Caenorhabditis elegans: one gene and its partners. The protein of the gene in region 1 interacts with the protein of each later gene in a pairwise test. Each region holds a gene or a part of one and is shown on either strand. Other genes may lie near its edges.

Region 1 (7,369 bases):
GTTTTTGGCCAAATATTGCATTCAAAAAGGAAACTTTTTTTGTTTTTTGAAATGAATATTGTAGTTACAGAGATAAACTCATCTAAAAGAAGAAACAATTTGCTATTTATCTAGTCAGGACAATTTTTTCTGCATAAATATAACCGAGGTAAAATAATTTTTTTGGAATTCGGAATAAAATTTCACAGCTTAAACTGGAATTTCAGTCAAATTTTGAACGGCAAGAAAAAAAGAAAAAAAAGGTCAAATTTTGAAGCTACTTTTTTGATTATGTTTCAGAAATTTTGGATGTTTTTAGATAGTTTCGAAGAGAATTTTAAATTTTTGAAATTTTCAATAAATTGACATTTGAATAACTAGAGTTTCAGTCAACTCTAATTTTCTCATTGATTATATTTAAAAATTAGAGTTCCACAAATTTCAAGTAAAACCAAAAATGTATCCAGTGTACCGTATTTTCTCTTCCAGTTATTCTAGTCAGTTTCTCATTTGCCCCTGACACCTGTTCTTCACAAGCCCCTCGCGTGCCCATAACTGTGACATAGAAGCAGAGAAAGAGAGGGTCGGTGCCTGGCCCATCAGTCGACGGCACCTACCCCCCTCCGCTCCATGTTTATCTTGTTATCTCTAACCGTCTCCAGTTTTACAGTACCCTCTCGAAGTTGTAAAAGGACTCTTCTCTTGTTTTTTCCAAGTTTGAATCTCATAGATATGATATTATTTTTCTGATATCATTTTTGGATTCTGATCAGCCCATAGAATTCTACAAAGAAATTTTTTGTGGACTCTGAGTCATGTGGATTTGCCCCAAATTTCCAATCGAATATTTGCTAGGATCAGAATCTCTGGATCGGCTTGCTCAACTAGGTCTGAGAGCTCGAGTTCGCCCAGATCAATCTAATGGTAGAAGCCTGTAGTCTATAAGTTTCGGGCCTGTTTTCTGACCCCTTAACTGCCATAACATTCACATCTGTCGCGGGACACCCTTAGAGAAGCAGAGAAAGAGGGGGTGGTGCCAGGGCCCTCTGCATCTCTGTGACCTCCTAATTTACAGTCTCTCAGAACCTTCACACAGTTTCGAAATCAGTTGTTTCTGGCCTAAAATTTCTGCGATTTTCCCAAATTTACTGATCCGATGACTATTCCCAAGAACCCGCAAAGTTTGTCTTTACCTTCTTTCCTTTTAATTACCTAATAAATTTCAGCCTTACACCTCTCCAACATTCGCATCGTACAACCACCTTCCGAAGAAGATTTGGCGCTATCTACTCTCTCCCGCCAGCTCGGGCTCATGCTCCACGCCGAACGATGTCAGGTGAGTTACTGGAAAGACTCACTGGGGAACTTAGTCATTTGGCATGAGGGATACGTGATAGGCTGAGCTGAAAACCTAGAAGTTCTGTATCTCTGCGAGCTAGCATGGAATTGGAAAAAATCAGCTGAGGACTTTGTATCAGGGTTGTAGTGCAACTTGCTTAAGGAGTTCTAGAGCGTGTGCGGGGGCCGAGATGGAGGCTTTAGCGTCCCAGTTGTGATCTTGACTCCCTATAGAGCGCCTTGGGCTCCTGGCCGCGCGCTCCTAAAGCCCAATGCTTCCTAATCCAGGTACAAAGTCTGCTGAGAAGCATGCATTTTCCAATTATAGTCAGCAAAGGTATCAAGCTTGAAAAGTGTTCAGATATCTCGGATCTTCTAAAGACTCGATTCTCTAGTTTGATTTTGCAGATCGCTGAGCAATGTCCTGTTCCGCAGTGCTCCACGATGAAGGAGGTGATCGGGCATATGATGACGTGTTGGAATGGGTTTCAGTGTCCCTGTAAGTTCAGAAGAGCCCCCCCCCCCCCCCCCCCAATAGTAACCTTATCCCTTCAATTTCAGCCGAACACTGCACTTCGTCTCGTATGGTCATCCACCATTGGACACGCTGTACCAATGCGGAATGCCCGATTTGTGGAGCACACAGGACTGCACAGAATATGAACGCGTTGAGCACAATTCCTATCGTCAAGGATCCCGAGCCAAGACCTCCAGGAACCTCACAACCGTGGCACAGTGAAGTTCCGAAAACCGATAGAGAGGCAGTTATTGAGAGAATCTCCAAACACATCATGCTCCATCCGCAAAGATTCGAGCCAATTTGGAAGATAAAGGAGGACGCGAGGGCTGCTGAGCTTCAGATTTTTGAAGCAGCGGGGAGTAGGGATGAGTACTACCGCATGGTTGAGGAGCGAGCTCCCCGCGAGCAGGACAAAGCTCCTGAGGGCCCTGGCCAGGAGGCACAAAAAGAGGAGAAGGGGGCTGGAGGTAGACTTTTAGTCAGGTGTAATTTAAGTAATATGGAAGATTTTCAGAGGAAGATCCTGATGAGGTGTTTGATCATATGGAAGGCACTTCCAAGGACTTCCAGGGCTCCACAGACTGATGATCGCCAGCTTCACAGAATCTCAAATTGCAATACTTCTCATTTTAAGGACTTCTTTACAATGACTTTTTCTTATGTTAATTGACATTTTTATATCATTGCTCAAAAAAAGTATAGAAAACCAGTAGAATAAAAAAACAAAAAAAAATTTTGTTCAGAACTGGGTGAAGGGCTACTTGAAACTTCAGTATTTGGAAAAAAGTAAAAAATTCTGAAAGAACCTTTTCAGTAGATTCTTAGTCGGCTTCAGCATCACAGCTTTGGTCCCTTTGCACCACAATTGCCCCCATGGCCTTGCGGGGAATCTAGGAGGTACGGGACCCAGGAGGTACGGGCCCCCACAGGTATGGTCCTCACAGGAACGGGCCCACATGTACGGGACCTAAGAGGTACGGGTCCCTACACGAGCTCCACAGACATGGTCCTTTCGGGTACGGGGTCCACAGGAACGAGAACCACAGATATGGCCCAAAAAGTACGGCCTCACATCTACTGCCCCTACAGCTACAGGCTTCCGAAGATTTAGCCCCACACGTACGGGCCCCACAGCTTCGGGCCCACAGCTTCAAGCCCCTAATAAGCTATGGTCCCTTCCAACACAGACAAAGCTCTTGGGCTCGCGGTCCTTATCATTCTGCTCCAACACGCCATGCGTGGGCCAGCTCCACATTATCACCCGTCATTCAAAACGGTTCCAGATACTTTGTCCAAAAACTCGTTCAAAATTGCGATACATATCACGCAACACACTTTTTATGGGAAAATGTGTGATTGAGAAACACAAGCCGGTGCCGGGGGGGTCTCCCGCTCTGTGTCTCTGAGACTCCTATACATTTACTGTGTATATTGAATAAAATCAATGTATGTGTGTCCAATTTTGCGTGGGCTTGGTACAGCTCATTCATAGCGTGACACTGGTTCCAGATACTTTGCCAATTGGTGTATTTAAAGAAGTGTGCCAAATTATTTCATTCATTTCCTTAAATTTTCTTTTAAAATTTGAAATTCGTTGCGTTTTCAGCATCTCCTGGTTCTACTCCAACTTTTGACCCATTCTAGAAATGTCGGAATCCCTTGAGGAAGCGCTTAGTAAGTTACGATCCTTCGCACCTCTAATCTCGCCTGAACCTTTCAGTCGAGGACCTCTCCAATCTCCGAATCTGTGTTACCTCCGATAACGTCCAGCAACAACCCAGGGTCTCAACAGCCACGATGAACACGCTGATCTCCCGTCAACTAGGGCTTCTGCTTCACGCCCACGAGTGTGTCCGTCGGGATATTGTGAGTTTCTGGGCTCCCGGGGGTTCTAAGAAATATTTTACAGAAAATCCGTGAAGCTGCCGAGAAGAACGAGCCGGCTCCTCATGCAATGTGTAAGATTCAGGATTGTGTGATCATGAAGGAGGTGCTGAAGCATATGACGTCGTGCAAGGAAGGACCCAAGTGTAACTGTGAGTGAAAATAGATGAAGGATTGCTAAAAGGATCTAGACGGTGCCGCGCTTGAGTTTCAGCAGGCTGAAATGACCCTGAGCCTTGTAAGTCTGGTCCCATGCCTGACCCTACATCATAGCCTGATCCTAAGTCTAAGACTAAGCTTAAGCCTAAGCCTAAGTCATGGCCTAAGCCTAAGTCATAGCCTAAGCCTAAGCCTAAGCCTAGGCCTCAGCCTAAGCCTAAGCCTAAGCCGAAGCATAGGTCTTTCCTCTAAAACCCACAAACCCTGAAATTCCAGCGGTCCACTGTGCTTCCTCCCGCACCATCCTCAGCCATTGGAAGAAATGCTTCAACGAGGAATGCCCAGTGTGCAAGCCGATTATTGAGCAGCGGACTGCTCCTCCTCAGGGTAACTATTTGAGATTCTACCCCACCGGCTCAGTAAATCGGCCTATTCTTTCAGACACCACCCCTGCGGAGCCCAAAAAACCAGAACACGACCAGATCTGGCACCTGGAAGTCCCCAAAACCTACCGAAGCGAACTCATCGAGAAGATCTACAAGGGAATCATGTCCAATGTGAAGCCGGGTACCCTGTCCGAGGCCCAAATGGATACCTGGAAGGAGTACTCGAGATCTGCGGAGCTTCAGATCTTCGATACCGCCCAAAAGCTGGAAGCGTACTACCATATGGCTAGAGAGAAGGTTTGCCGCTACCAGGAAGGATTTCCAAGACGTCAGAAGACGGAGGAGAAGGATGAAAGTGATGGTTCAGAGAAGGAGGATGAGGCTGACGATCGCTTGGAGGGGACTTCCACGGACTACCAGGGTTCCTAATCACCTATCAAAAGATTTCATGTTCAATTGACCAAATCACTACTGTAGTGGCTGAATTTACCAACTGTTAGTACAAGAATCTTAACCATGTCTCTTGTAGCTTCGTTTAACCTAGTGTTTCCTGAACTTTGTATCCTTGGAATTTTTTTTTGAAATAAATTACTCTCTGGCATAATTCATTTGTTTTCAATTTTGATGCAGAAGACTCGAAGTGGAAAGACCTTAAATAAACAAAAAAACATAACCAAGGTCACGGGGAACACCTGGTGTTCTTTTTTTCACTACGGATTACATGTTAATTAATAACATCTAAGTTTACATGTTAATTTGTAGGTCCCTAGCCGTGTAAAAGACTGAAAAAAGCGTTTTTTCTGCAACACCTGATCATGGAAAATTATAATTTTTTATAAAAGAGGTTTTACAGATTTTATTACTGGTGGATGAGCGGCGCGATTCTGCATTCAATTGATATTAACTATAATCCAGTTGTTGTATGTTGTTGTTGTAAAATGGCGCCCCTTCTTTTTGTTTGCGAAAGCCACCTCAAATATTCGATTACTCCAATGGTATCCTTGTTCATTCTTCAATAATTTCTCATAAATTTTCACTTGAACATTGCATTTTAGTGCCTTTTGGGGAAAAATACACAATTTTCATTGATTTTCACATAAAATATGAAGTTTTATGAGAGAATTTGAGAATTTTCGAAGCGATTTCGAACAGTTTATGAGTAACGATACTCGTATACCTCCAATACTATTTGAATTCTTATTGGTATCTCATTAAAGAAATTAGCAAAGTTTATTCCTTGACATTACAGAGATTGCAAATTGATTTGGCGGAGTTGATGAACAACACGGATTTTATTGCAGTCTGCACACATCTACCGCAAGCTGTTGAAAAAAAAATAACCAAATGATTTTGTTTTATGGAAAGAAAGTTAGAGCCTTCAACGTGCATTTTGCAAAAATCAAAGGCGATACCGAGAAAGAACTACATCAAATTGTACTCGTGAATGTCAAAGAGCCCACATATCCAAGCTTCTAGTATTAATGATCTCAAGTCTTTTAATGTATCCTTGAAAATTCCTTAAAATTTCAAGTGTGTTATTAATGATTTTATCCATACAAATCGGGCAAGACTTTGTTTTAAATTCGGAATCTCAATAGAAAATACTTTATTCGACTTTCATCTCTCTGGACACCTTCTATAAGTCGGTCGATTTCAGAGACGTGTGAGGGCGAGCTTCGTAAAACAATGATAGAACATAAAACATAAAAAACCAGATCATGAATAATTATTGAAATTTTAATGAAAAAAAGAATTTATAGATTTTTCCGGGCCTCCAGATTTATGCTGATTGCTTCAGTCCACTTTTCTTTGTTTTTCTCTGAAAGTCTCTACTTGAATAGTGGAGGCTCAACTGATAAGGAAACTGTTTATTCATTTGCTCTTGATTAGAGCATACTGACTTCAAAAACATTTTATTTACGTTCTCGAAATTTGGTAGAGAACTTCTTGTAGATAATTTTGAAAAATTCAGTTTCAGCTATTTCAACATATTTCAAAATATTGTTTAAATTTTCCGGTCTTGATACTCAGTCTGACGGGCGGGGCTCAAATTGGAAAACTGATAGTGAGAGCAAGCAATTCTAATGCGTTTCTTCTTCCAAACATTATGTTTACTTATTTCCTTGTGATAATTTATGTTTCAGCACACAGCTATGACTGCTCGAAAAAATGACGAAGGTTTGTGCTCTGTTTGTTCTTGTTGTAAATATGTATAGTTTTAGATGCTCTACAAAACCTTTCAAAAATAAATTTGGTTGGTTTTGACCAGCAACCCTTCAAATATTTGATTTTTAACAGGAAAACACGAATTCTGAAAGTAATGTTAAATATTTGTTGTTTTTGCAAAACTTGGAAAAACAGTAAGTCGAAAAAAAATTTGTCGATTAAAATTTTGGTGATTTTCAGCGAGAAGATGATGGAGACGGAACAAGCGGAGGTAACAAAAAAACTGTATTTTTTTTGAGATTTTCAATTTTCCCAAACTACAGTAATCCTACAGTACTACAGTACCTCTTTAGTACTACTGCAGTACCCCGACCATATCCGCCATTGGTCTTAAACCAATATCCCTATGAAGACAAACAATCAATTTTTCTTAAACTAAAGTAATCCTACAGTACTACTGCAGTCTCCCCATTAACCCCAAACCAAAATCCCTTCATTAATCCATAACTTTGCACACTACAACGACTACATAGACTGCAAACTATGGGCAGACCCACCATTTTTTTTAAATATATAAGTAATGATAAAAATTGGACCGCAAAAACTTCTTGATCGCGCACCCGACACATTTTATGTCAAAAAATTATTTCAGCGGAAGATGCTCAGATTAAAACAAGAAGAGCAATTAGAAGAAGTGATGAAGGTCAGTTTTGCCTCAATTACGTGCAATACCTCAAGCATATATTTAATGCAAAGCATGAATTTTTGAAGCAACACAAAAAACCTAACGCGAACTCTCAGATAAACCGAACCACGCAGGCGCCGCTCCAAACCACGCAGGCAACGCGTACAAACCACGCTCAAGAATGCCAGTCCCTGCGTGGTTTCAACGCGTTGCCTGTGTGGTTTGGAGGCGATGCCTGCGTTGTCTTGCAGC
Region 2 (7,314 bases), on another chromosome or scaffold:
ATTATTTTCAATAGATTTGTGAAAAAAAACCAGAAACTCACTTTGACAAAACCATAATAGGCTCAGAAGTGTTATTTTCAGATGGATCCAGGTACATAACTCGAATGTATCGAAAGTTGAACTCTTTGATAGATGAGGGAACACTGACAATTGCATGGAAAGTGTTTCTAAAACAGAAAATAACTGGAATTAATGTAATAAATCTTACTCTTCGTCAGTCGATTTTGTTAATGGAAATGATTTTCTGGGATTCCACTCGCCAAGGACGGGCAAACTTCCAACGACATGGATTTTTTCCCATTCTCTGACTTCTGAGCAGAAAACTTTGAAATGTGCTTTGTAGTCTTGGTCCATATAAACCAGTAATCTGAAATTTCGAAAGATTAAATTATTGAATTTCAAAATTAGAAAAGAAACAAAATTGCGAATTATTAAAACTAAGTGGGTAGAAAAAGTGGCCTACTTCCCCACCAAGGTGCGCATCGATAACGATTCAATTTTCTTATCGCAAAAACGATAATGTCATTATGGGACTGATAGTCTGGGTAGGGACAAAGAAGAAAAAGGAGCAAATGCTGGTGCTAATGCAAAAAGGAAAAAAAGTTGAATGATTATTTTTTCTTTTTTCTTCTTCAACTAGAACTTAAGATTGGGTACATGAAAAACAACGAACATTGGTAGTTTATTGTTGGCCAGTGTCAGATCGACAAAAAAAAACAAAATGAAGTTAGTGTCGTTTGTGGCAGAAAAAAAAAGAGTGCTATTATAAAATATCGAATTTCAATTTCACGTTATTTCGGCAAACTACATTTACTTGGGAGGATTTGCTTCATTTTGTTCCGAGCCCCCAAATGCTTTTTTTTTTTGGTTCTTCTTTTCTGTCACGAGCCAGTAATTTTTCTGAATCGATGAGAAGGGCAAAATGGAAGAAGAAAAAGAAATAGTGAGGAAAAAAGAAGATGGGCTCCGGGGAATTGGAAACGCACCCGCACAAAAGAGAATATAAAGAGAATAAAGAGAAAAAGAAAAACGGCGTGAAGCGAAACAAGAAAAAAACGCAGCCAGCTTTCTATGCTTCATTTCAAGTGTACCCGTAGAAGCAGGCAGACTTCGTCAGAGTCATGCGTACATCGTTTCCCGCATTTTGAGGCAAAAAATAACGTCACTAACAACAGGTTGATGGATTTTGCCACGTGACTTTGTGATATCTATTCTCGTTTTTTCCTTCATCTTTCAACTGTCTACGACAAAGAATAACGTGACCATAGGAATTTTCTGAGATTGTATAATTGCGAATGAAATATCAAATATGGAAAGGTAGATGAAAAGTAGAAGTACCCCAAAATATTATTAAATTTTTAAAATTAAATCTGGAATTTTTAGGTCTACAAATAATTATTTCTCACGAGTTTACCATTACAAAAAGTTATCCTATGAAAATATATTGTGATACATCTACTACATAAGTGACCAAAAATTGTTTCCAATAAGTTTTCTATTCAGGCTTAGAAAAGCACTAATCCTAAGCTTAATAGTTAATATTTTTTGGGACTACACAAGTATCCCAAATGACTCTGGGAAAAATGTTAGCAAAGTGACAATGTGCCGACATTTTGAGTGCACATTGCACTCTACACTGGACACTTCTCATCGCTTCTCAATTTAATGTAAACATAGAGGCTAGACGGAAACTTAATCGGGTTTGTATGACGGACAATCACAACGAAGAATATAAATGAGTGTAAACCTCGTGAAAGGTTCGAATTCAACGTTTCAAATTTGATATAGCCATTGAAAAATGCTTTCTATCCAACAACACAGTTTTAGTTACTCCAGCTAAAAGATTTATTCTTATAAAGAAAATGAGAATCAAAGTTACAATAATGTGGAATTTATTATGTTACAGATTCATTTCAGACTTAGAGAATTTGAAGCGGCTTAGGCCTTGGTAGCAATGTAGGAGATAAGGTCGACGACTCTGTTGGAGTATCCGAACTCGTTATCGTACCATGAGACGAGCTTGACAAAGTGTGGGTTGAGTGAGATGGATGCTCCGGCATCGAAGATGGAAGAGTTGGTATCGGAGACAAAGTCAGTGGAGACAACTTGATCCTCGGTGTAAGCGAGAATTCCCTTCATTGGTCCGTCAGCGGCAGCCTTGATAACCTTCTTAATGTCATCGAGGGAAGCTGGCTTCTCAAGACGAGCAGTGAGATCAACAACAGAGACATCTGGGGTTGGGACACGGAAAGCCATTCCGGTGAGCTTTCCATTGAGCTCTGGGATAACCTTGCCGACAGCCTTAGCGGCTCCAGTAGAGGCTGGGATGATGTTTTGTCCAGCTCCACGTCCGTCTCTCCAGAGCTTTCCTGATGGTCCGTCAACAGTCTTTTGGGTGGCGGTGACGGCGTGGACAGTGGTCATAAGTCCCTCAATAATTCCGAAGTTGTCATTGATGACCTTGGCAAGTGGAGCAAGGCAGTTAGTGGTGCAGGAAGCATTGGAGATGATGTGGTCGTTGGCATGATCGTACTTCTCGTGGTTGACTCCGACGACGAACATTGGAGCATCAGCAGATGGAGCAGAGATGATGACCTGAAATTTAAATATATTTATCTTGAAAAATTAAATCACTAATTTACCTTCTTGGCTCCTCCCTTCAAGTGAGCATTGGCCTTCTCGATGGTGGTGAAGACTCCGGTGGACTCAACGACATAGTCGGCTCCAGAGGCTCCCCATTGGATCTCAGCTGGGTCTCTTGAGTTGTAGACCTGAAATTGAATAGAATATTAGGTGAAATCTAATTGGAAATAATTCTACCTTGATCTTGTGCTGGGACTTTCCTTCCTTGGCGACAAGAAGGTAGTCTCCCTCGTGGGCAACGGTTCCCTTGAAGCGTCCGTGAGTGGAATCGTACTGGAACAAGTAGACCATGTAGTCGATGGAGATGAATGGATCGTTGACGGCAACAACATTGACACTGTCCTTCTCGACAGCGGCGCGGAGGACAAGACGTCCGATTCTTCCGAATCCGTTGATTCCGACACTTGGCTTGGTCATGATGCGTTGAAGCAGTTTCCCTGAATTAAAATTAGAAGTTGAAAATACAATAGAAAGAAAATTGGAAGGTATATAAACTCGCAAAAACGAGGAAATGGCAGATTCAATAAGATGAATAAATATACAACCTTTATTGAGAAGAGACCATTTATATACTTGTAAGCTTCTAGGAAAATTTTAGATACTAAAGAGAAGCATAGATTTTAAGACAAGCAGTTAACTAGGTGAAAGTAGGATGAGACAGCTTAGGCCTTGGTGGCGATGTACGAGATGAGATCAACAACTCTGTTGGAGTATCCGAACTCGTTATCGTACCACGAGACGAGCTTGACGAAGTGTGGGTTGAGTGAGATGGATGCTCCGGCATCGAAGATGGAAGAGTTGGTATCGGAGACAAAGTCGGTGGAGACAACTTGATCCTCAGTGTAAGCGAGAATTCCCTTCATTGGTCCGTCAGCGGCAGCCTTGATAACTTTCTTGATGTCATCGAGGGAAGCTGGCTTCTCAAGACGAGCAGTGAGATCAACAACAGACACATCTGGGGTTGGGACACGGAAAGCCATTCCGGTGAGCTTTCCATTGAGCTCTGGGATAACCTTTCCAACAGCCTTAGCGGCTCCAGTAGAGGCTGGGATGATGTTCTGTCCAGCTCCACGTCCGTCTCTCCAGAGCTTTCCTGATGGTCCGTCAACAGTCTTTTGGGTGGCGGTGACGGCGTGGACAGTGGTCATAAGTCCCTCAATAATTCCGAAGTTGTCATTGATGACCTTGGCAAGTGGAGCAAGGCAGTTAGTGGTGCAGGAAGCATTGGAGATGATGTGGTCGTTGGCATGATCGTACTTCTCGTGGTTGACTCCGACGACGAACATTGGAGCATCAGCAGATGGAGCAGAGATGATGACCTAAAAATTTAAATATATTTATGCACAAAAGTTGATTACAAGTTACCTTCTTGGCTCCTCCCTTCAAGTGAGCGTTGGCCTTCTCGATGGTGGTGAAGACTCCGGTGGACTCAACGACATAGTCGGCTCCAGAGGCTCCCCATTGGATTTCAGCTGGGTCTCTTGAGTTGTAGACCTGAAATTTAAGAGAATGTTTAACAAAATATGTTTGGAAAATATTCTACCTTGATCTTGTGCTGCGACTTCCCTTCCTTGGCGACAAGAAGGTAGTCTCCCTCGTGAGCAACGGTTCCCTTGAAGCGTCCGTGGGTGGAGTCGTACTGGAACAAGTAGACCATGTAGTCGATGGAGATGAATGGATCGTTGACGGCAACAACGTTGACACTGTCCTTCTCGACAGCGGCGCGGAGGACAAGACGTCCGATTCTTCCGAATCCGTTGATTCCGACACTTGGCTTTGGCATGGCTGAAAATTGATACTACTACAATCAGTTCAACTAACATACAAACGACAAATAAAAATAGAATGATCGAAATGAAAATCGAATCAAATTGAAGAGAGAAGAATATGAAGTGAAGCCATAAAAACCATGTTTACTATTTGACGAAACATGTGCAGTAAGCGAAAAAAAAATGATGCAATAGGCAAGATGAAGAAATGCGGTGTGAGAGAGAAAATAGAGAGGAGAGAATAAGTATGCATAAAAAGAAAGGGAAAATTGAAAATGATGATGCAAAAAGAACAGAGAGCCGTTTGAAAAGCCCTCTATTTTTTATGTTCCGTGTCCTTTCTCGATTTCCTTCAGTCGTTGCTGATGTTGTTCGAGAACCTGAAATGAAAGTATTGAAGAACGTTGAAAGGTAGTGGAAAACAAAAAAAAAGAGATTGTTTGTGAAAACCAATCTATCTCTTCATTATGCTCGCTAGTCGCCCGTCTCTCTAACATATCAAGGTCAACTGTGTAAAATAGAGAGATTCGAAAGGAGTCCCCGGTCTATTTTGAATCAGTTCTAGAACACGCCACTTTCGCAGATAAGAGTTTCGGCAGTGTCATGTGACACATCAAAGAATAACGAGTTAATCAACAACAATATTTTCCTGCGTGTTTTCCTTAAATGGAGTGTCTCGTACCTTTTCATGATCCCGAATTTCCTGTTGGCTTTGCGTCATATCTGCTTCAAGCTTCTTCTTGAGATTGTCCAACTGATCTTTTTGTTGTCTTCGGAAGTATTCTTCTTCTCTGGTGGCGCCCATCATGCCGAGTGATCCACCTGCTTCACGGATTGAGCCGCCGGAGCCTCCACCATGTCCAGCACCACTTCCACTTCCAGATCCTGACATCTGTTTTGATTTCCTGGAAATGAACTAACTGGATTATATGAGCATGGCTCCAAAAGTAAAGAGAAGCGAAAGAAGAAAGCTGTCAAGAAGACGTCGAAGGGAGCATGCCTTTTTTATTTCTGAGAAGAAAAAGAAGAAAAGCAGCTAACACACACACACAAGTTTGTAGCACGTAAAGTAATCTTGAGTGAGAGCGAAGGGCGAAGGTGATGCAAACAGGCCCTCCCAAAACAAATTTCACAATGCGAGTGGCGTTTCGATGGCCGGAGACCGAGGACACTGGGCCGCCCATTTCCAAACGGCAATCGATTTTGTTTTTTTTACACACACATCAATATACACGCACAAACATTAACTCACAAACACACACACACACCGCACTCTCGTGAACTGAACGCACAAAACGTGTGTGTGTGTCAGTAAACTCTGATCTAGTAGAAAATAGTGCGTGTGTTGCAGAGGATTTAGAGAAAGGGTCGAGAAGAGAGTTTCGAGCCGCCCGTGAATTGATATCATAAACAATTGAAGACTTTGAAACATTTACAACATTTGACCTTCGAGAAAAAGAAGAACGAAATAAAATATTTACTAACCTCAAAAGTCTTTGTGAGCAAGAGCAACATTGGTTTCCGGTGAGCTCCTTGAAGTCAAACTCTGTTGTGTTGTTTCCTTAGAAGGCAGGGCAGGGTCGCTGTTTTTTTAGGGGAGCCGCCGTGGCGAGGCGAACATAGAGAGTGAAGGGAGCGAGGCGGGTAGCCTCAACTGATGCATAGAGAGAAAATGGGCCAACTGCGAGTGCGACGACGGCCTAGCCAGCCGGCACGAATCGATGGAGATGCCGACGTCGCCGACACACGATTGCTGGCCGTTGGCACGTAGGCAACGGCAGTGTAGTAACAGGAAAAGAAGAGATTTGAGGAGTTGCTCTTCTTTTCGCTTGGAGCAACTCTTTTCCAACCCGAAAGTTTTCAATGATAAAATATAGAACAACACGAAGATGAAAAGGCGCAGTCGCTAGTCAATCGTTCTGAAGATCAAACTAGTGGCCGGAGTAAATGGGAGGAGTTGGAAAATAATCAACGAGAAAAGTGTTTTTCATTGACATCAAAGAATGTTTTATATCAGTTATCACTGATCACTAGTCACTAGTTTTTTCAATTTCTGAAAGAAAATCTAATTTACTAATAGACACACGATGAATCAGAATTTATTCAAATGTATCTGATCAGTTGAATACGTGAGATCTTTTATAAAAGCTAATATCAACCAAAAGTTCAAAATCACTTCGAGATCAAAACTCTAATGGCATATGTTTGAATGCACGAAGTCAATAATTCTAACAGGCGAGAGTGCTATAGTTTTCTCAAAAAGTGGCAAAAACTCAGGAATTTCCACTTTTTGACTGTCAATAACAATTTTTCAAAATTTAATGTATCATAAACGTGTAATGTAATAACTTACCAAAACATGCCTAAACAGTGTGTCATCTTTACCTCAAGTTTAACCAAATTATTATATTTCCAACACTATATTTTAAATAATAGTTCCTATGACAAAGTTTGTGACGTTCATTGAGAAAAAGTTGCATAATTCAGGTTTTTTAAAAAACCCACTATCTTCTATCATATTACGAAAAATCAACAAATCAAAAGTTCAAACTTGGCAAATTCGTTGAAAATTTTCCGGTTTTCTCGTTTCACTAAAAATTGATGTTTCAATGACATCAAACAAAAACAACTACCTAGGAAAGCGAACTGCCCACAAAAAACAAAAAATAAGTTTTTTATCAGTATTCGATACAATCTGATAACATCCTTTATCGTGTTACCAGAATGTTCTCTGTACCTATTGATTAGTCCAAAAAACATCGCACTTGGCAGCTATAAATATTTATTCCATAGTTGTCGTTTTTCATTAAAAGTAAATAGGCGAAAGCTTATAATAAAGAAATCAGCAATGATTTTGGGTGGAGTACAAAATGAAAAGCACATCAAAACAAAACATGACCGA
Region 3 (8,381 bases), 9.2 Mb from region 1:
GGATAAGTGAAGCCAAAAACGAAGAAACTATGCCATTACTATGTATTACTGTATAAAGGGCTGGTTCTTTTTGCTTATTTTCAGAAAAAGAAGCAACATGATGTTGCCATCGTATGTTCGCTTTTAAGTGGCGGAAAAAGGAGAAATTGGTTTGCGAATGCGTAGATAACACATTCAAAACACAGATAGTTCATGAAGCATTTCAAAATGTTCGGGTCTGACATTGAACAATTATAGGTTTCACTTATTCACTAAGGAATTTCACGCATAAGTTCAAATGGAAAGGAAATGAGTATTGATACTTTTTTTATGAAGTACGGAATTTCCTAGGTTGATGTAATCGGAAATAACTTTTTGCTTCGGGGTTAGTTTTAAAGAATCATATGTTTGATCTACTACAGTGCCAGCTATTTTTTTCCAAAATTTTGCTTTTTGTGATTTCACAATTTTTCGAATAGTCCTAACTCTAAACATCTTACAGCTTAATCTACGTCTTTGCAATGATTTGGAAACATTTTTTGGAGGGAACAACATCGCAGTTTTGTAATTTTCTGAAACATTATTTAAAGTTCAGATGGGTCCCGCCACGAGAAAGACATTTATGACAAAAACTTTTGATTGTTGGTGGCCACTTTTTGGTGCCCAAAAGACTGTAGACTATACATTTTTTCGCCGAAAGACCCAGACTAGTAAATTTAATTTTAAAAAATCTTCAGAAAAATTCAAAATTTCCTGAGAAAAAAATCCGGAATTAAATTTTCCCTAAACCTAAGTCCACTCAGTGTTCCACTTTTTTTTTTCAAATTTCGAATTATACAGTAATCCAAGTGCATCATGCGGGCACTCGTTAGTTCCTCCCAAAAAGTTTGTTTAATCGTTCCGCTAAAGTTTTTTCCAAAACACTCGGCACATGGTCATCGCCCAGCGCCGACAATTTATGCCGTTTCGTGTTCGCCGCCTGTATGAGAACACAGTTGTCAAATGCTCATTTTAGAGTACGGTAGCTTTCCAGATTCCATACGTATCTATTTCTCATTACCATCTGATTTTAATCCGTCTTTTCGTGTAATTCACACGGATAACAAACAAACTTATACAAACAAAAAATAAGCTCAATGGGTGGGATAGAAGAAGGGGGAGAGAAGTGGTCTGCGTCTCGTGAAAGTGAACAATGATTGCGTGAAGTTCAAACCAGATGTGGATATGTGTCTAGGATTTTGGAGATTTTCAGAACTAGAATTTAGGTTTTAGGCTGACTTTTTCGAGATTACAATGAATGGTTTATTTTCTTGAGATTTTTGTGGGTAGCACTACCTTGGAATACCGTATTATCCCTGCCAGACTTGAAACATTTTCAGTGTCTTTCAACATACCAGAAAAAAGCTAAAGCTTGCGCTATGAGTTTTCTTGATTTAAAACTTTAAAAATAAGAACTTTCACCTTTTGAAATTATTTACATTTCTTCGAAAGAATCGGACTTCTACAGACTACAGTTTTCAAATTTATTTTCCGAAAATTTTCCCACTGTTTTCTTAGTTTCTCTAGAATCTTTACCTGCTCAAAGTTCACACCTATTCATTTTTGTTTTCCCGTTTGTTGTTTTTTTTTTCATTCACCTTTTCTTTTTCCCCCATTCATCGAGCTTTTTTTGGTGTCTGTCATCGAGTCCATGGGCTTAGCGAGGCTTGAAGATGAGCGCGCGCAACTTTTCGCGTTGATTGTCGCATTATTCCCCCGCGATCCCATTTTGCTCTTCTCATCGCAACAGCAGCAGGCTCACACGTCGTTATAGTCTCCTGTTTGTTTCGCAAAAAAGGACTTGGCGTCCCCGAGAAGAAAACGATACGCAAACACATATATAGATTGCAAGCAAGAGTGAGAGGTGTGTGCAAGCTTAACTCGGAACACAACGGGAGCCACCTCTCGACCTTGTATGGGAGAAGAGTCAATGCGCCTGGAGGTTGAGAAAAGAAAACAATGATCTTGATCCAAAATGATCTCGATTTCTTTTTTGAGCATTTCCAAACATCCAGAGAGCTCATACCGTAACTTCCTACTATTTTTAACATCAAAGCTCTATATGCTATAAGATTATGAAAAATGTGATTGAAAAATGGAGATTTTGAGAACATCCAGGGATCATCCAATGGTGGTTTACAACTTTTGATAGCTTATTTTATCCATTATAATATCCAGATTTTTCACAATTTGTCACTTGTTATAGTAGCTTTGTGACAGATTTTTATTTTATTTTTGCTTGAAATGCTCTCCACAGGGTGGTTTTTTTCGCTGTTCTCTGTATTTGAACAATTTTTTAAGATTTTTTCAGTTTTATTTCAGCTAGAAAAGTTTAGAGTAAATAGGCTACGGTATAAAAAATAGGTTACGGTAGAAAAACAAAATCTTCGTAAATTGTTTAGATTTTTTGAAATTTTCAGTTGACGATTAGGTAAAATGGTAAAAAAGAAATGTTCAAATGAAAATATTTTTAAAAAAATTTGAATTTCAAAAATTTGTTGCAGAAGTTTAGAGCGTTCATGTAGGCGCCAAAACGTCATTTCTTAATTTAAAAAAAAGTTCAGAAAAATGCGCGAAGATGGTGTGAGGAAGCCAGTTTTCAGGCAGGCGCCATGTTTTGAAACCGAGCCTGCCTTGTATAGAAGCAATGCAGAAATGAACATTTTCATGTTCAACATCTGAAATTATGAGTGATTGCAAAAAAAACCATTTTAAAACATTTTTTGAAAAGTTTACTTGGCTCTAAATTTAAAACTTTTGTTTTTCAGAAACCTAAATCTTCAATGTTAGAAGCTACCGTAACCCTTCTCCCCCGTTTTCAAAAAATCTCATCTCTCCTTAATTTGTATTTTCAGAGCATCCTACAACCTCTTCTCCAACGTGCTCCAGCCAACTGACCACTTCACTCTCTGAAACCGTTCGCAATCAGCGGAAGACGCTGGTGGGGATTCGTCTCCGGCCGCCTGCGCCTGTACACACAATGACATAGACACAAAGAAAAGGTGAGGAGTGTGATCGTATTGAGAAATGTGCGAAAACGGGAGTAGGAGCTCCTGTGCTCAACCTTCTTATTCTCTTTATTTGACATATCGAGAGCATAGAGATGGACACCCCCTTAGAGCCACATTTGGACTTAGGCCAACGCCTGTGGTAGATTTGAAATTTCTAGTTTCTTGTTATGTTGTTTTCTTGTTTTGCTTTTCACCTTCTGAAGCTTCAGAAGCTTCTTTTGCCATCATCAACCCAATTACTATAAAGTAACAGAAACTTTCGCTGATGCTTCTCTTTCCTTCGTTTTTCTGGTACAAGTATCCGCCATCGAATGAAAAAATCTTGTTTTTAGCCCTCCCTAGTGTTCGTTGATGTTTCTTTTGTACATATATCCGTCGCTCTCTCCACCTCCATCTACTTCGATGGCAGTTGTTTTGGTGCAGGCACCAGGGGCGCAAAGGTGAAAGTGACGAAAGAGGCGTGGCAACCAGGAAAGAGTGGACCCTTAGTTTCCCAACGATTCGCCGCTTTCCCTCCATTTTCTCTAAACTTTCTCAGCTTTTCGGCTTTATCGACAGCTTCGTTCACCGTTCTCGATCATTTTTCTCACCTGAATTTTCAAAACTTTTGTCTTTTTTCCATGGAATACTTTTACATTTTCTATATGTAGTTTCATTTGTTCCAAAAAAATAAGTATTTTCTGGATAATAGGTTTCTGTATCTAAGTTTACGGTAGGTGCAAGTAACTTTGCGTAAAAATTGAAAATTAAAATGATTACTCAACTTTTTGAATACCATATTTCTCTAAAAAAGACTTGTCTTAGACCTTGCTCAACTTTGACAGTTTTGGCTCCAAATGGTTTCATCAAACAACTGTCAATTGACAAAATACGTGCAAAATATTTTTTCTATATTTTGATAGTGGAACATTTTTTGATAAAAACCTAAGAAAATCGAGATATAAGCCACTCAAATTATAACATTTTTTAGAAGCTAGAAAACGTAATTTTCAGTTTTACCTTGTCCCCCTGAAAGTTCATGAATTTCAATTTAATTATTTTTTTCCAAAAACCGCATCGTGCCAAAGATTTTCATTTTAAGCTTTATCCTAGATCCACCCGACCAGATTACCATAAGTTGAACTTGTTTTGTTTGTTGAGTTTTTATTCCAGCAAAATCGCACCGTATCTCATCTCTGATTTGTTATTCCCATTGTTTTCTGGTGGAGGTTTCGTATTCGAAATTTTTTTTTTAATTTTTAACGGCAATTTTGAATGTATTTTTCAAATGTTAACGAAGAGTTTTTTCGATAGTGTTACTGGATCTTTGATAAGCATATGATCTTCTTAGCTTTATCGTCTGATTTAAGTCCAGTAAAAAAATAATCTAGAAAAAGTTGAGCAGGTTTTATGACTGTTTTTGTGAGGAATTGTAGATTTGATTGAACATTTTTATAATCTAAAATTATTTTTAACTCAAACTTCAAAAAGCACTTCAAAAATGCAACGAGTATGATGGATGGAAGTCAACCACAAAAAAACATATTTTTTAGATTTCTAAAACTGAAGGCTCTAATTTTTTAAACATTAAGTTTCTAGTAACAAAGTCAAAATTTACTCTGCTATTTCGTACTAGCTACTTCCTCATTTCGAATTTTCAACTTTGACCTCATGGACATATCCACGTGTCGACACAATTTCTAATCGGCTAAGCTCCTACTTAGTCAGTTTTCATCGCGACTAATATTTAACAACGATGGCCTTATCCTATTCAGTTAAGCCTTGGATTCAAAAATTTTGAAAATCTCATACGAAATTGAAAACCTATCAACGTATCAAGTTGGTGTCGGGTCTTCTATATTTTTTTTGGTTAAAAAGAAGATTGAAGCCCTTTAAATTTTATCCAGCTTCATCGAAGATTTCACAAATTTCAATGAAATTATTCTTCAAAAATCATCGAGTCTCCTCCCTTCTTCCCCCACTTTTTCGACATTAACTTCCCATTTTTTGAGAGGTCATCAAACTTTTAATGATCTCTCGAGTCGTCCATCAACTTTCACTCATTTCACAGTTGTTTTACGGCTCATAACTCCGCGAATCTCGCACCCATATAAACTCTCATTTTGCTTGATAATTTCACACTCAGTTGCAATGAGTACTGTAGTCTTTATGAAGTCTAAACTTAAAATTTTCACGCCAAAATAATGTGAGAATTTTAAATTTTCTAACCATGATTGAGAGAAATTTCCAAAAAGTTACTGTATTTCCTTACATTACTTCACTTTGAAAAGTTACATTTCGGTTTATTTTGAAGATTTCAAATTTTCGTACTATTCCTTTAAAAAAACATAAATAATAAAATTTATGAAGTATCTCATTGGTTTCACTGCTTCATATTTCTGGGAAATAAAATATTTCTATTGACCTAAACTATCTTAAAATTATCTATATTCCAATTTAATACTATGTACTTTCCATCTCACCCATCTACCGAGTTAACTGCAAAATTTTTCAAAAGTTATGAAACTAATTATTCCTCCGGCAAACAAATGTGCCTATCACACGCTCTATTCATACCATATTAACTTGCTAATCAACTACTTTTGTGTTGTTAATCACTGACACATATGTAAATTTCATCCTCCAATATCTCGCTCCTATTGTTCCTCCTGTTTTTGAATCATGGTGGTGCTGCCAACTCAGCTCCACTTAGGGGCGGCGCCTGATGTCCAATTGGGCTCTGCCGGCTTTTGCTACCAACTCATTACTTTTACACCTACGGTACCTATTTTTTGTGTTTTTCAGGATACCTCTCAACTATTCATCAGCTTCATCTAGTCATCTTCTTTTACCTGTAAGTAGTGAACAAAACAAAAACTCGAAGATCCAATGTTTTGCCTCCTTGTAATAACTAATTCAAAAGTTAAATTGGAGGCCCCTTCTCTTCGAATAACTTATTCTCAAGATGTGAACACTCGCCCATTTTCAAAAACATGATTAATATTTCTCGGTAATACGATACTTGTCTCTATATTTTTTTCTAAAATGCGCATCTTCCTTATACGTCTAAACAAGAAGAAAAAAACCGAAAAACAATTATTGTTTTTGAAAAATGAAATAGAATTTGAAGGAGGTAGCCGTCCAACTTCTGACTATTTGGAGCTAGGGGCGTCAGTTGGTGAGCTCACACCAGGCGCCGTGCCTTGGTAAAATTTGAAATGGTGTAAAATCACACACGTTGGCAACATCTCTATTGCGCATTCAGTGTAAATTTAGCAACTGTGCAGGGAGAGTTGTGTATAGGACTTTGGCAATATGTGTTTGGGTGAGCCTAAGCCTATCCCTAAGCTTAATCCTAAACCTGCACCTAAGCATAAGCTTAAGCTAAGCCTAACCCTAAGCCTAATCCTAAACCTAAGCCTAAGCCTTAGCTGAAAAAAGTCTTTCAACTTCTTTTAAAATCTCAAATCCCCATATTTCCTTTTTTTTTTGTTCAATCAATTGGCAACTTCTCTCAAGTTTAGTCAGAATCTGTGACGCGTCCGCCTTCTGAATACAAACTGGGGAGTAGAGCATGACTAGTATTGTAGTTACTCCATGAATCTTTCGTTTTTCTGACTGATTGTCAATCACGCCTAGTAATGTATCTTTGCTTCATGAAAAAGCTCACATTTTTGTTCATTTTGTCGTGATTGTTTTGTTGCTTGGACAACTGTTTCTACATTATTGGTTTGAACTACAGATGTAGCTGTTGAGTTGACTTAAAAAATATATGTACTGTATAATTTTTGAAGAGTTTGATTTTTATTACTGTTGAAAGTTGCTTAAGCTTTGAAAAAATCAGTTCCCCAAGAAAACGTCTTACATTCTTAAGCCATTTTTGTCATCATTTAAATTTCTGAATATCAAACCTTCATAACAATCCTCAATTCATTTCGCTACAAATTACTGTTATTCTGCCAACTCTCAAAATCACTTATTGACGTGTGGGTCCGACTCCAAAATTCTCGATAAAAAATTGTATTTCTTATTTGTCGCAATTCTCCCTGCCAATCGTCAAGTTGTACAACTCAGTGCCATTCATTTCATTTCACTTTTTTTCAGATCCCTTTTCCATTGCAACAAACACATCAAACTGAAGCAGCCACCGTTCACACTGTAAGTATATGGAAATTGGAAAAAGTAGAGCCAACTCCCCTTACTTCGAGAATTGTATAGCCTAGTACATTGTACAAAGTCAGTTCCAATTTGAATGCTTATTTCAATGGAACTGCCGCCGCCGCGTGCGCCAGTTTTAAGGAAAGAAATTGTACATTTTATGTCTAGTTTTTTTCTCAGTTGAATAAATCTACAGTAACCCGAGTAGGATAGCCTTGAGATCCGTTATTATCATGCATGTGGCCATTGTCATTATTATTATAATCATTATGAATAAATAATGAGGCACATGCGCCTCTGGATTACTGTAAACATAGTTTTATAATTATATTCGCTGTACAGGCATTTTTTGCAATTTTTGTATGAAACCTACTGCTCTACTTTGACGCTGATATCTCGGCTGTATTAACTTTTATCAAATTAATTTGAAAAATCAAACACCAGAGAAATAATTTAGCACGATTTTTTTAGTTGGCGATTTTTTGAGAAAATCGACGAAAACTGAGATATTAGCTATCAAAGCTAAGAGATCTAATAGGATCCATACGGGTATAGGTTAATCAAAGAAACTTTTGAAAACAACTTTTTTCCAAACAAATTTGAAATTATTCAAATTGCAATTTTTTATTTTTAAAGTTTTTTTTGGCATGCTCTAAGACCTCATATATTTCTTTCGGTTAGTAGCGACGGCTACGTGGCAGTTGAGACTAAGCAATGTGCCCGGTTAGTCGCTACTAAGTCATGATGAGCACGTGTTAGATGAAGCTTAGCCGACATTGATCTTCGAAATTTTACTGATTGCCGTCTCATCCTGCGACGCGCTTTGTTCGGTTGTTTCCAGCACGGATCGAGGTCAGAAACCGATTGACACAGGAGAATGGCAGAGGGTAAAGTTAAAGTTCAGCTGCTTAATGCTTTGTAAATAAGAAAAGGCGTTTTTGGGATTCAAGTTGTTTAAGGTCATCTCAGTTTTTAAATGCGATTTTAAAAATAAGGCTTAAATTTAGCTTTTTTCTTTAAACTTTTTTAGAAAACACAAATTTTCGATCAAAAGTCAAACCTTATTTTTTGTTCTATAAAAAAGGAAAAAGCTGATAAACAACATCCAACATTACAAATTATGTCAAATTATCAATTACCTCATTTCTCTAAGGATTTATTAATAGACTCTTCCTTTTTACTTCTCATAACTTTATTTCTCAATTCCAATTTTTC
Region 4 (8,721 bases), on another chromosome or scaffold:
AATTAGTCAAAGAGAGGGGTCTGTGAAAACAGAAATAGAAGAGAGAAGGCGGGGGAGAGGGGCGCTCTCAAATAATTAATCTGGGCTCCGTGGGCTCGTAAAATTCCGATAAAATGGCTTGTTTGTAATTAGCTAATTCACGGAATCTTTTTTTTTTGTTGGGGTTTTACTATGTTTTTGAACAACTTCCTGTTATAACATGTTTCAAAAAAACTATTGACCTCAATGGGGACTTGAACCCTGGTGTTGAGATTGGTAGTCTGTTAACCAGTACACCAAAAATTGCAATTTTTGATTTTTGTTTTGTCTATTTTTTTGAATACAACGATAAGTAAGGATCATTTAGATTTAGAAAAAAAAAATCAAATTTTGTAAAAATTTTCTAAAAAGTTATGAACATTCCACTTTCACAGATTTCTGGCTTCCCTCATAAATTGAAATGGAAGAGTTTTTGGCGAACAAGGCCAGATGCGTTGCGTGTCGCGTCGCGGCTCGATTTTAGTTGTAATGCATTTGTCCGTGTGGAGTCCACGACTTCCCCCGTTGTCCGCCAGACGATTGTAAATGGAGCGCGAAAAATTCAATGAGAAAGGCCAGAACCCCGTGCACTTTTTTGTTTCTAAAACTGAAAATTTTGAATTTTGAAATTTTCCTTGGTTTTACAGTATACAAAATCTTAGTTAGAGTTCGCAAAAATTATTGACACTGGTGGGGGCTCGAACCCCTGAGGTGGCATCCCTGTTAGCCACTGCGCCAAAATTGCTAAAACTTCAAAAAAAAAATTTTAGACCGTTTTTAAGGTTTTTAGACTTCCGACTCTTCAAAAATTCCTATACAAAGTCTTCGTAAAACTAATGACTGGGGGGCTCGAACCCCGGTCATCATATCAGTAGTCATCCCTGTTAGCCACTACACCACTTGCCCAGACGTGTTTCTGGTCTGTTTTACGGTGCAGCGTGGCCTAAAAAAAACTAGTCAGCCACCAATTCGAAAAGTCCATAGACCAAGTTAATATAGAAATTCTTCAAATTCGAGCCAACCAACTAATATATTCACTAACCTATTTTCGCCGTGTTCTTCCTGTGTGTGTGTGTGCCCCTAGTTAGGCCTAGCCCCCCCCCTTATTTTACTTGCTTCACAATTCAATTGGCCCCCACACAGTTACAGTAGTCATAATCATTTTGTGTCGGGTTTTCGACACATCGTTTAAACGTGTTACCTCTCTCGGGGCCCCCTCTTCTCCTACTTCTTATTTGCTCAAAATTTGCGCGTCGAAATTTCTTCGTCGTGCGCTGCCCCTTCCGAATAATCAGATTCACCAATGTATAAAATAGGCCACGCCTCACTTTTTCCACACCCATCATCTTCCCTCAACTTTCCTCTTCTCAAATGCCTAATCAGCCAGTTATAACGAGGGTGCTCTTCGTGTGGCGCCCCGCCCATTTTATTGCTCCTCTCACGCTTCATTCTCACTTTTTCTGGGGATCCTTTTTTTTGCAGACCTAAAAATTTGAGCTCAGCCATATTTTTTTTGTAAATATAATCAAAAAAAAATAGACATTAGTCAAAAAAGTTGTTTTAAGCCTAAAAAAATTTTTCAGATAAAAAACGTTTTTCTTTAACTTTTTTGAACAGTTTTTCAGTGAAATATTTTTAAATTTTTATTTTAAAAAAATGTTTGTTTATCTAAGCCTAAGCCTGAGCCTAAGCCTAATAACCCTAAATAGCGTCAGTGTGGGAGCTCACGCTCCCCCACTGACGCCAAGCCTAAGCCTACGCCTAAGCCAAAGCCTAGGCCTAAGCCTGGGCCGAAGCTGAGACCTAAGCTTAAGCCTAAGCCTAAGACTAAGACTGAGTTCAAGCCTAAGCCTAAGACTAAGCCTGAGTCTCAGCCTAAGCCTAAGCCTAAGCCTAAGCCATTTTTAAAAAGCTTAAAAATTTTTGCAATTACTATTTTTTCTGAAAATCTGTAAAAATATCGAATTTTTAGAGTTGCTATAAAATTTAAAATAATATTCAAAAAATAATCCGAAAAAATTAAATTTTTTTTCTCAAAACGTAGATCATACAGAATCAGCTTTAAAAAATTCAAACCATTTTTCGTTTCAAAAATGTTCAGAAAATTTGTAAAACTTGAGTTTTGAAGAAAGTTTTCATAAACTAGCTCTTGAATAGGGTTTTTAAGTAGGCGTTAAAACGCTTGCCTGCCTGACCTTCAGGCGACTTTCGCCTGCCTGCTTGACTTTCAGACGTTCTCTGCCTGCCTGCCTGACTTTAAGGCGACCTCCGCCTGCCTCTCGCCTCAATCCGAGCCTTATCTCTTAAAATGTTTTTCATCAAATTGATAAAAATACGGAAATTACAAAATTTTGTAAGTTCATGCCAAAATGCAGGCATCAGGCCCTGAGGCCACGCCTGCCTAGGCCTCCGACTTTCGTTCTACAATTGTCGTTGCCGTTTCCTTTATCCCATTTTCATACCCCAAAGTTATGATTTTTCTTACACCCCTTGCGCTGCTGCTGCTTCCGCTCCCGTGATCTTATGAATCAGTAGTCAGAACTGCAGGTGTGAATCTCCACAATGATCACCCAATAAACGCGAAACACCATTAGAAACAAAGTGTCCCCCGTTTTTTTTTTCTGAGAGTGTCGGCACCCCCCTAACATATGCGGGGAACATTGTCTCAAGTTTTGTGTGCTCCTCCAGCTCCTCCATATGGTTACCGTAGTCCCCTGTCAGTGTTGTGTAATTGTTGTTGTAACTATCCCCCGAATACCTCTCCTCACATTCATTCACAACACAGGTGTCAACTCAACTCTCAGTGCTCATTTGAAGTTTATGAAGTTTAGCTTCCGGGGATGGCTCTCCTGGGCTCCCCGCTCCCTCGAAAATTTAATTAATTGCAAGCACATGTGGTGGTGGTGGGGCGAGCTCCGCGCTTCCCCCCCCGCCCCGATTCTCTCTCTCTCATTTGCGACTCATTAGATTTTAAATCACTCTCAAACTTTCCACTTTTCCAACTTTCGCGTTTTTTAAATTTTTTTTTCACTTTTTCCTCACAAATTCATCCAAAAAAATTTCCAGAGTTGCCCCGCCCATATATTGGCTAAATGGTAGAATGGACGTGGCACTTTTGACAATGGATGACAACAACAAACCGCCGACAAGTTCAGAGTCTACGGAGAGTAGGGGTGAGTTTGGCCGGGGGACCGATAATTTTTAGGCCAAGACTTCTTTTTTTTTAAATCATTTTCAAAGGTACGTTACCTTCACGTGGTGCCAGGTTGTCCCATTGCTTTTTGATCTACAGAAAATGCGGGATTTTTTCCCCAAAAAATGTGACATAAGCAAGTTTTTAAATCTTTTCTCCCGCATTTTTTTGTAGATCTACGTAGATCATACTCTGACACCACGTGTACCTTGAACCTCCTGGCTTTCTGAAACTAGAGTTCGTCGCTAGAGCGCATTTGCATTGTCGTGGTATTTAATTTACAGTACCGCCAGAATCATGTCGCGCCGCTTGTAGTCTAGTGGTTAACACGCTTCAGCTCTAAACAATAGGTCCGGGGTTCGATTCCTTGCAAGATGAAATTTCTTTCTCAAGATGGAGGTACATATGTGCTTTAAATGTGCACTAGAGATAGCGAAACTGATACCATGGTCCGACATGTACAGGGTTCCGCGCGCGCCTAGGGCCTCCAAAACGCCTGCTGCTCCAGTTTTGCGGCGACCTCCGCCTAACTCGCGGCGCGCCTTCTGTATAGTCACGGCCTTCTGTCTTCCCTCATAAATTGAAATGGAAGAGTTTTTGCCGAACTAGGCCATCTTGGCTCGGTCACATCTGGGCTCGATTTTAGTTGTAAAACTAAATGTATTTGTCCGTGTGGAGTGCACGACTTGCCCACGCGTTGACCGGCGGGCGATTGCCAATGGAGCGCGAAAAATTCAATAAGGAAGGCCAGAACCCCGTGTATAGTGCCGCGCGTGGAGCCCGAAAAGTGTCAGCCGCGGCGGAAGAACCACATTCCATAGGACTAAAAAACTAAAGTTCTCTCTTTCAGAAACATCACCACCAATGATGCCAGATTCTGCGGAGATAATGCGACTTCTTACGGATCCTTCGACGGCTCAGATGTTTGGTAGGTCATAGATCAAATTTTTTCCGCAATTTCCCGAAAAATTTCAGCCAACGAAAACACAAAATGTCAGCTGGGACGGATTCTCGCCGCGTCAGGCTTCGACGAGGCGAGCCTCTCCTCCTCGTTTCCGTTCGATCCGACGCTCGGCGCGTTCGCCGACATTTCCCAATTCTCATCACTCCGAAATTCGTCGAAAACGCTGAAATGTCCAAAGTGTAATTGGCACTACAAGTACCAGGAGACCCTTGAAATTCATATGAAGGAGAAGCACAACGATGTGGATGTCAAGTGCATGTTTTGTGCCGAGAACCGTCCCCACCCGAAGCTGGCTCGCGGTGAGACGTACTCGTGCGGTTATAAGCCATATCGATGCGATTTGTGTCGGTACAGTACGACGACAAAGGGCAATTTGAGTATTCATATGCAAAGTGATAAGCATCTTCATGCAGTGCAAGAGCTCCCGAATAGTATAGGTAGGTGGGGGGGGGAGGCGAAGGGTACTGTAGTTTTCGTGGTGGGACCCAAGAATTTGAATTTCACAAGAATTTAACTGTTGAACTCGAACTTTTCGATTCTAGGGTCTCGCCACGCAAAAACACTTACGCCAACTTTTTTGAACCCTAAAAAATGATACTCAAATTAGAGTTCTCAGTGAGCTAAATTCGATTTTACAGTATTTTTTTAATTTGACGTTCTGTGGGTCTTACACTCAAAGGGTACTGTAGTTTTCGTGGTGGGACCCACTTGTCCAAAAATGGACGTGATTATATTTGGATTAAAGCCCCTAACTTTTCTGATTTTTTTAATAAATTGGTTTTATTTTGAAAAGACTGAGAAAATTGAGTTTAGATCGAAATCAATAAAAATCGCGTCGAGACCCAAATTTCCCGGGTCTCGGCACGAAAATGGGGGAGAGGGTACTGTAGTTTTCTGGCTTCTCTCATAAATTGAAATGGAAGAGTTTTTGCCGAACTAGGCCGGCCATATCTGGGGTAGATTTACGGCGCGTTGCGTGTCGCGGCTCAATTTTTGTTTTAAAACATGAGGAAGACCAGAATCCCGTGTTTTCGTGGTGGGACCCAAATGGGTCATGATTATACTTATTTGAAAGGCCTTAAGCTGAATTCAGATTTAAGATTTTTATTATTTTAATTCAAAAATATCCTGAATTTTCCAGAATTCGCAGCCAACTTCGCGTGTGGTGCTCCAGTTAGCCGAAGTAGTCCAATCGAAGAGTCCGACGGATCCCTGGTCTGCTTGATCTGCGGTATCTTCGCCACCGAATCTATCGCCGAAATGATGGAACACGTGGAACAAGACCGTTCCAGGACGTTCCAAGGAGACGTTACCGTCCTAAACGGGAGCTTCCGGTGCCACTTGTGCCCGTATAATACCACATTGAAAGCCAATTTTCAACTACACACAAGGACGGATAAGCATCTGCAAAAGGTTCAAATTGTGAGTTTTGTATTCCCCTCTCATCATCTTCTTATTTTTATTGTGTCGCCCTTTTCCCATTTTTGTGTGTCTGTGTGTGTATGCGCACCGATTTGCATATACACATAAATTCATGATTTAATAGCGTAATGAGTAATATTTGCTTTGCCAAGGCTAACAGTTTTCGTATTTTAAAGCCTTTTTTCTACAATTTTTGAAAAAAAAATTCAAAAATTTGAACATTTCAATATATCCCTAGAAAGCTCAAAATTGTAGTGAAAATTTTGAATTCAGTACGCTGAGACCTTTAAAATAAGTATAATCATTACTAGGTTTTGGTTCTGACGCGAAAGTGTTCGTGGCGGAGCCCAAGCAAGGCGTAATTGATTATAGGGTCTTTGCACGCAAAAAATTTAAGGTCCGGTAGGCGTGGCGGGGAGTTTTTCTTGAATTATTTTAGTTTTTCATAAATTTTCAATTTTTTGGAATTTATTTTTCTCTCCCTTCCCCCGCGTAGTCTGAGCCTAAACCTAAGCCTGAGTCTAGGCCTAAGCCGAAGCCTAGGCCTAAGCCTGAACTTAAGTTTAAGCCAAAGCCTGAGCCTAAGCCTAAGCCTAACCCTAAGCCTCAGCCTCAGCCTAAGCCTAAGCCTAAGCATAAGGCTAAGCCTAAGCCTAAGCCTGAGCCTAAGCTTTAGTCTAAGCGTAAGCCTAGGCCTAACCCTAACCCTAAGCTTAAGCCTAAGCCTAACCCTAAGCCTAACCCTAAGCCTGAGCCTAAGCCTAAGCCTAAGCCTAAAGTCTTCGTGTCGAGACCCAATTATACTCAATTGAAAGCTCACAATGAGCTGAATTCAAATTTCTCAATGAAAATGTGAAATACTTTGATTTTACGGTCGGTGGCTTTACTCCCCCCGAACTTTGGAAAAAACTCTGAAATTTTTTTTTCATTGAATTCCAACCGGTTTCTACTCTCTCCGGCTATTAGTGTATGTGTCTTTCACTTCTTTGTTCTCGTCGGGTTGTTCCCAATTTCCAACCCTCGTTTTACTCATTCCCCCTCTCATTTTCCCAATCCAATTAGTTATACCTATGGGGGGAGGTGACGGTGATGATTCTCGCCATTAAGACCCCCCCCCTCTCCTGGGCCGATTGAGATGGAAACAAAACAAAACTGTCAATTTGAATAAATTCGCAATTTGACGCGGGCGGCGCAGCGGGTTGCCGAGAAGGATATAAACTGGGGAACTCTACTTAGCCCGTAAGGTGTCGGCTGCTACTATTTTATCACATCTCAATTTTTACGGAATCCCGTAAGGCGTCGGCTGCTTCTCTGTTTTTGCATGTTTTTACAATTTCGGCCCGTCCGATGTCGGCTCCTTCCAATTGTTTTGCAAAACAATTTAAAATTTGAGCCAGCAAGGTGTCTGCTGCTCCGGCTAGATTTCCAATATTTAAATTTTGCACAATCCTGTAAGATGTCGGGTGCTTCTCAGTTTTTACAAAGTTTTTTCTCAAATACGGCCCGCGCAGTGTCGGCTGCCACCTCGTATGTTTCATCAAACTTGAACGATTCGAGCCCGTTAGCTGCCCGCTGCGTCTTTTTTTTTCTCAAAATTCCAGCCCGTAACTTTTCGGTTGCTGAAATAAACAAAATTTTTACGAAATTTTAACCCTTGAAGTGTCGGCTGCAAATTAAGATACCTACTCATTCAGATTCCCGTCTCTCCCTCTCCCTCTCTCTTCATTGGGGAGTCCTTCTCCCGAGAGAAAATGAATAAAACTGTCAATTTGAATAAATGCACACAGCGGGAGATGTTTTTCTGTGAAGACTCCACCGTCTTCTTCGTCTTCTGCCTATTAAGCGATGATCCTTTCACTTAACTGTCGTTCCCTCCCCCTCTCCACATACCAATAAACCTTGCCAAAAGGTCGAGTATGCTTTGCCCGCCATCGTGCCGGAGGTCTTTTTTCTAGACTATGATGTTTTTTTTTGGAAAAACATTTTTCTATGGATCGATGCACCATGATGCCGAGTTGCCGAGTTTTCAATTTAATCAATTTTGAGATTTCAATTTTAGTCCCTTGTACATATTAATTTTTTTGGAATTAACATTAAAATTTGATAAACTGTAGCTACAACTATTTATTTTTGTGCCAAATTATACTATCCAATTTGACTTGTCTCTTGATGCACCATGACTAACTTTCTAAGATCTCATATTTTGGCCTAAAATTATTCTCAAATATTTAAATTTAAACTTTAATCCTATTTTTTTTAATTCCTCGGAAAAAACCCCGTTAACAGAATTCCCAATTTGGCCTCCAGGAGCTTTTGTCGATGCACCATGTTCAACATTTTTTCAAAATTTTGCTCATTTTGACCTGAAATTTTGTCATTTTTTTATGTTGCAGGGTTTTTTATTTTGTGATTTTTGCGATGAAAACCACATTATGTGGATGAAAAAAGTTTGGAATCTAGTTTTCCCGTTAGGCTGCCATATTGCTATGTAGTTGATGCACCATGTCCAGCTTTCTGAAATTTTACTTTTTACATTTTTTGCTCAGTTTGACTTTAAAATTTTGTTAGTTTGACCTTAAAATTTTGTCAGTTTGACATTAAAAATTTGTCAGTTTGACCTTAAAATTTTGTCAGACATATAATTTTTTTGTGTTTTTTGGTTAAAAAATTGAAGGTTTTTCGCGATATTTAACACATTACATGGAAAAATTCTTTTGATCGAGTTTTCTAATTTGTTCGTGTAGCAAGTCGATGCACCATGTCCAATTTTTTAAAATTTTACTTTTTTTAAATTATTTGCCCAGTTTGACCTTAAAATTTTGTCAATTTTACCTTAAAATTTTGTCAGTTTTACCTTAAAATTTTGTCAGTTTGACCTTAAAATTTTGTCGGTTTTACCTTAAAATTTAATCAGACATATAAACTTTTCTGTTTTTTGGGTTTAAAAATTGATTTTTTTTGCGTTATTTAACACATTAAATGGCAAAAAATCATGCACCATGTCTAACTTTTTCCAAAAACACTTGATTTTTCCCTAAAAGTTTGTCAGAATTATACATTCCTTAAGTTCAAAACCGTACGGAAAAATTAGAACCCATGTCGATGCACCATAAGCTTTGGCTCG

The links.
Region 2: the proteins of C29F9.5 (region 1) and gpd-3 interact in a two-hybrid assay, tested with the Caenorhabditis elegans proteins (one large-scale study listed by BioGRID).
Region 3: the proteins of C29F9.5 (region 1) and fozi-1 interact in a two-hybrid assay, tested with the Caenorhabditis elegans proteins (one large-scale study listed by BioGRID).
Region 4: the proteins of C29F9.5 (region 1) and zfh-2 interact in a two-hybrid assay, tested with the Caenorhabditis elegans proteins (one large-scale study listed by BioGRID).

What each region holds. Positions count from the first base shown.
Region 1 is NC_003281.10:114,073-121,441, forward strand, and holds C29F9.5 (histone acetyltransferase), read left to right. Parts: upstream 1-3,437; 5' UTR 3,438-3,483; coding exon 3,484-3,511; intron 3,512-3,557; coding exon 3,558-3,703; intron 3,704-3,746; coding exon 3,747-3,873; intron 3,874-4,156; coding exon 4,157-4,267; intron 4,268-4,321; coding exon 4,322-4,695; 3' UTR 4,696-4,842; downstream 4,843-7,369. Other genes in the region: C29F9.6 (histone acetyltransferase), read left to right, coding at 1,136-1,160, 1,206-1,315, 1,726-1,816, 1,879-2,304, 2,352-2,422; pals-24 (DUF4200 domain-containing protein), read left to right, coding at 6,420-6,444, 6,489-6,520, 6,565-6,626, 6,673-6,703, 7,085-7,135.
Region 2 is NC_003284.9:3,110,262-3,117,575, forward strand, and holds gpd-3 (Glyceraldehyde-3-phosphate dehydrogenase 3), read right to left. Parts: upstream 3,081-7,314; 5' UTR 3,061-3,080; coding exon 2,821-3,060; intron 2,772-2,820; coding exon 2,643-2,771; intron 2,596-2,642; coding exon 1,939-2,595; 3' UTR 1,830-1,938; downstream 1-1,829. Other genes in the region: gpcp-1 (Putative glycerophosphocholine phosphodiesterase GPCPD1 homolog 1), read right to left, coding at 42-167, 209-354; gpd-2 (Glyceraldehyde-3-phosphate dehydrogenase 2), read right to left, coding at 3,306-3,962, 4,009-4,137, 4,187-4,426; mai-1 (ATPase inhibitor mai-1, mitochondrial), read right to left, coding at 4,736-4,792, 5,095-5,304.
Region 3 is NC_003281.10:9,278,914-9,287,294, forward strand, and holds the start of fozi-1 (Formin-homology and zinc finger domains protein 1), read left to right. Parts: upstream 1-2,867; 5' UTR 2,868-3,020; intron 3,021-8,381. UniProt on the Caenorhabditis elegans protein: Acts redundantly with hlh-1 to promote body wall muscle cell and coelomocyte specification in postembryonic mesoderm progenitors, probably through suppression of sem-2.
Region 4 is NC_003279.8:800,284-809,004, forward strand, and holds the start of zfh-2 (Zinc Finger and Homeobox), read left to right. Parts: upstream 1-3,084; 5' UTR 3,085-3,118; coding exon 3,119-3,191; intron 3,192-3,516; exon of another isoform or gene 3,517-3,589; intron 3,590-4,061; coding exon 4,062-4,139; intron 4,140-4,186; coding exon 4,187-4,612; intron 4,613-5,316; coding exon 5,317-5,597; intron 5,598-6,135; exon of another isoform or gene 6,136-6,376; intron 6,377-8,721.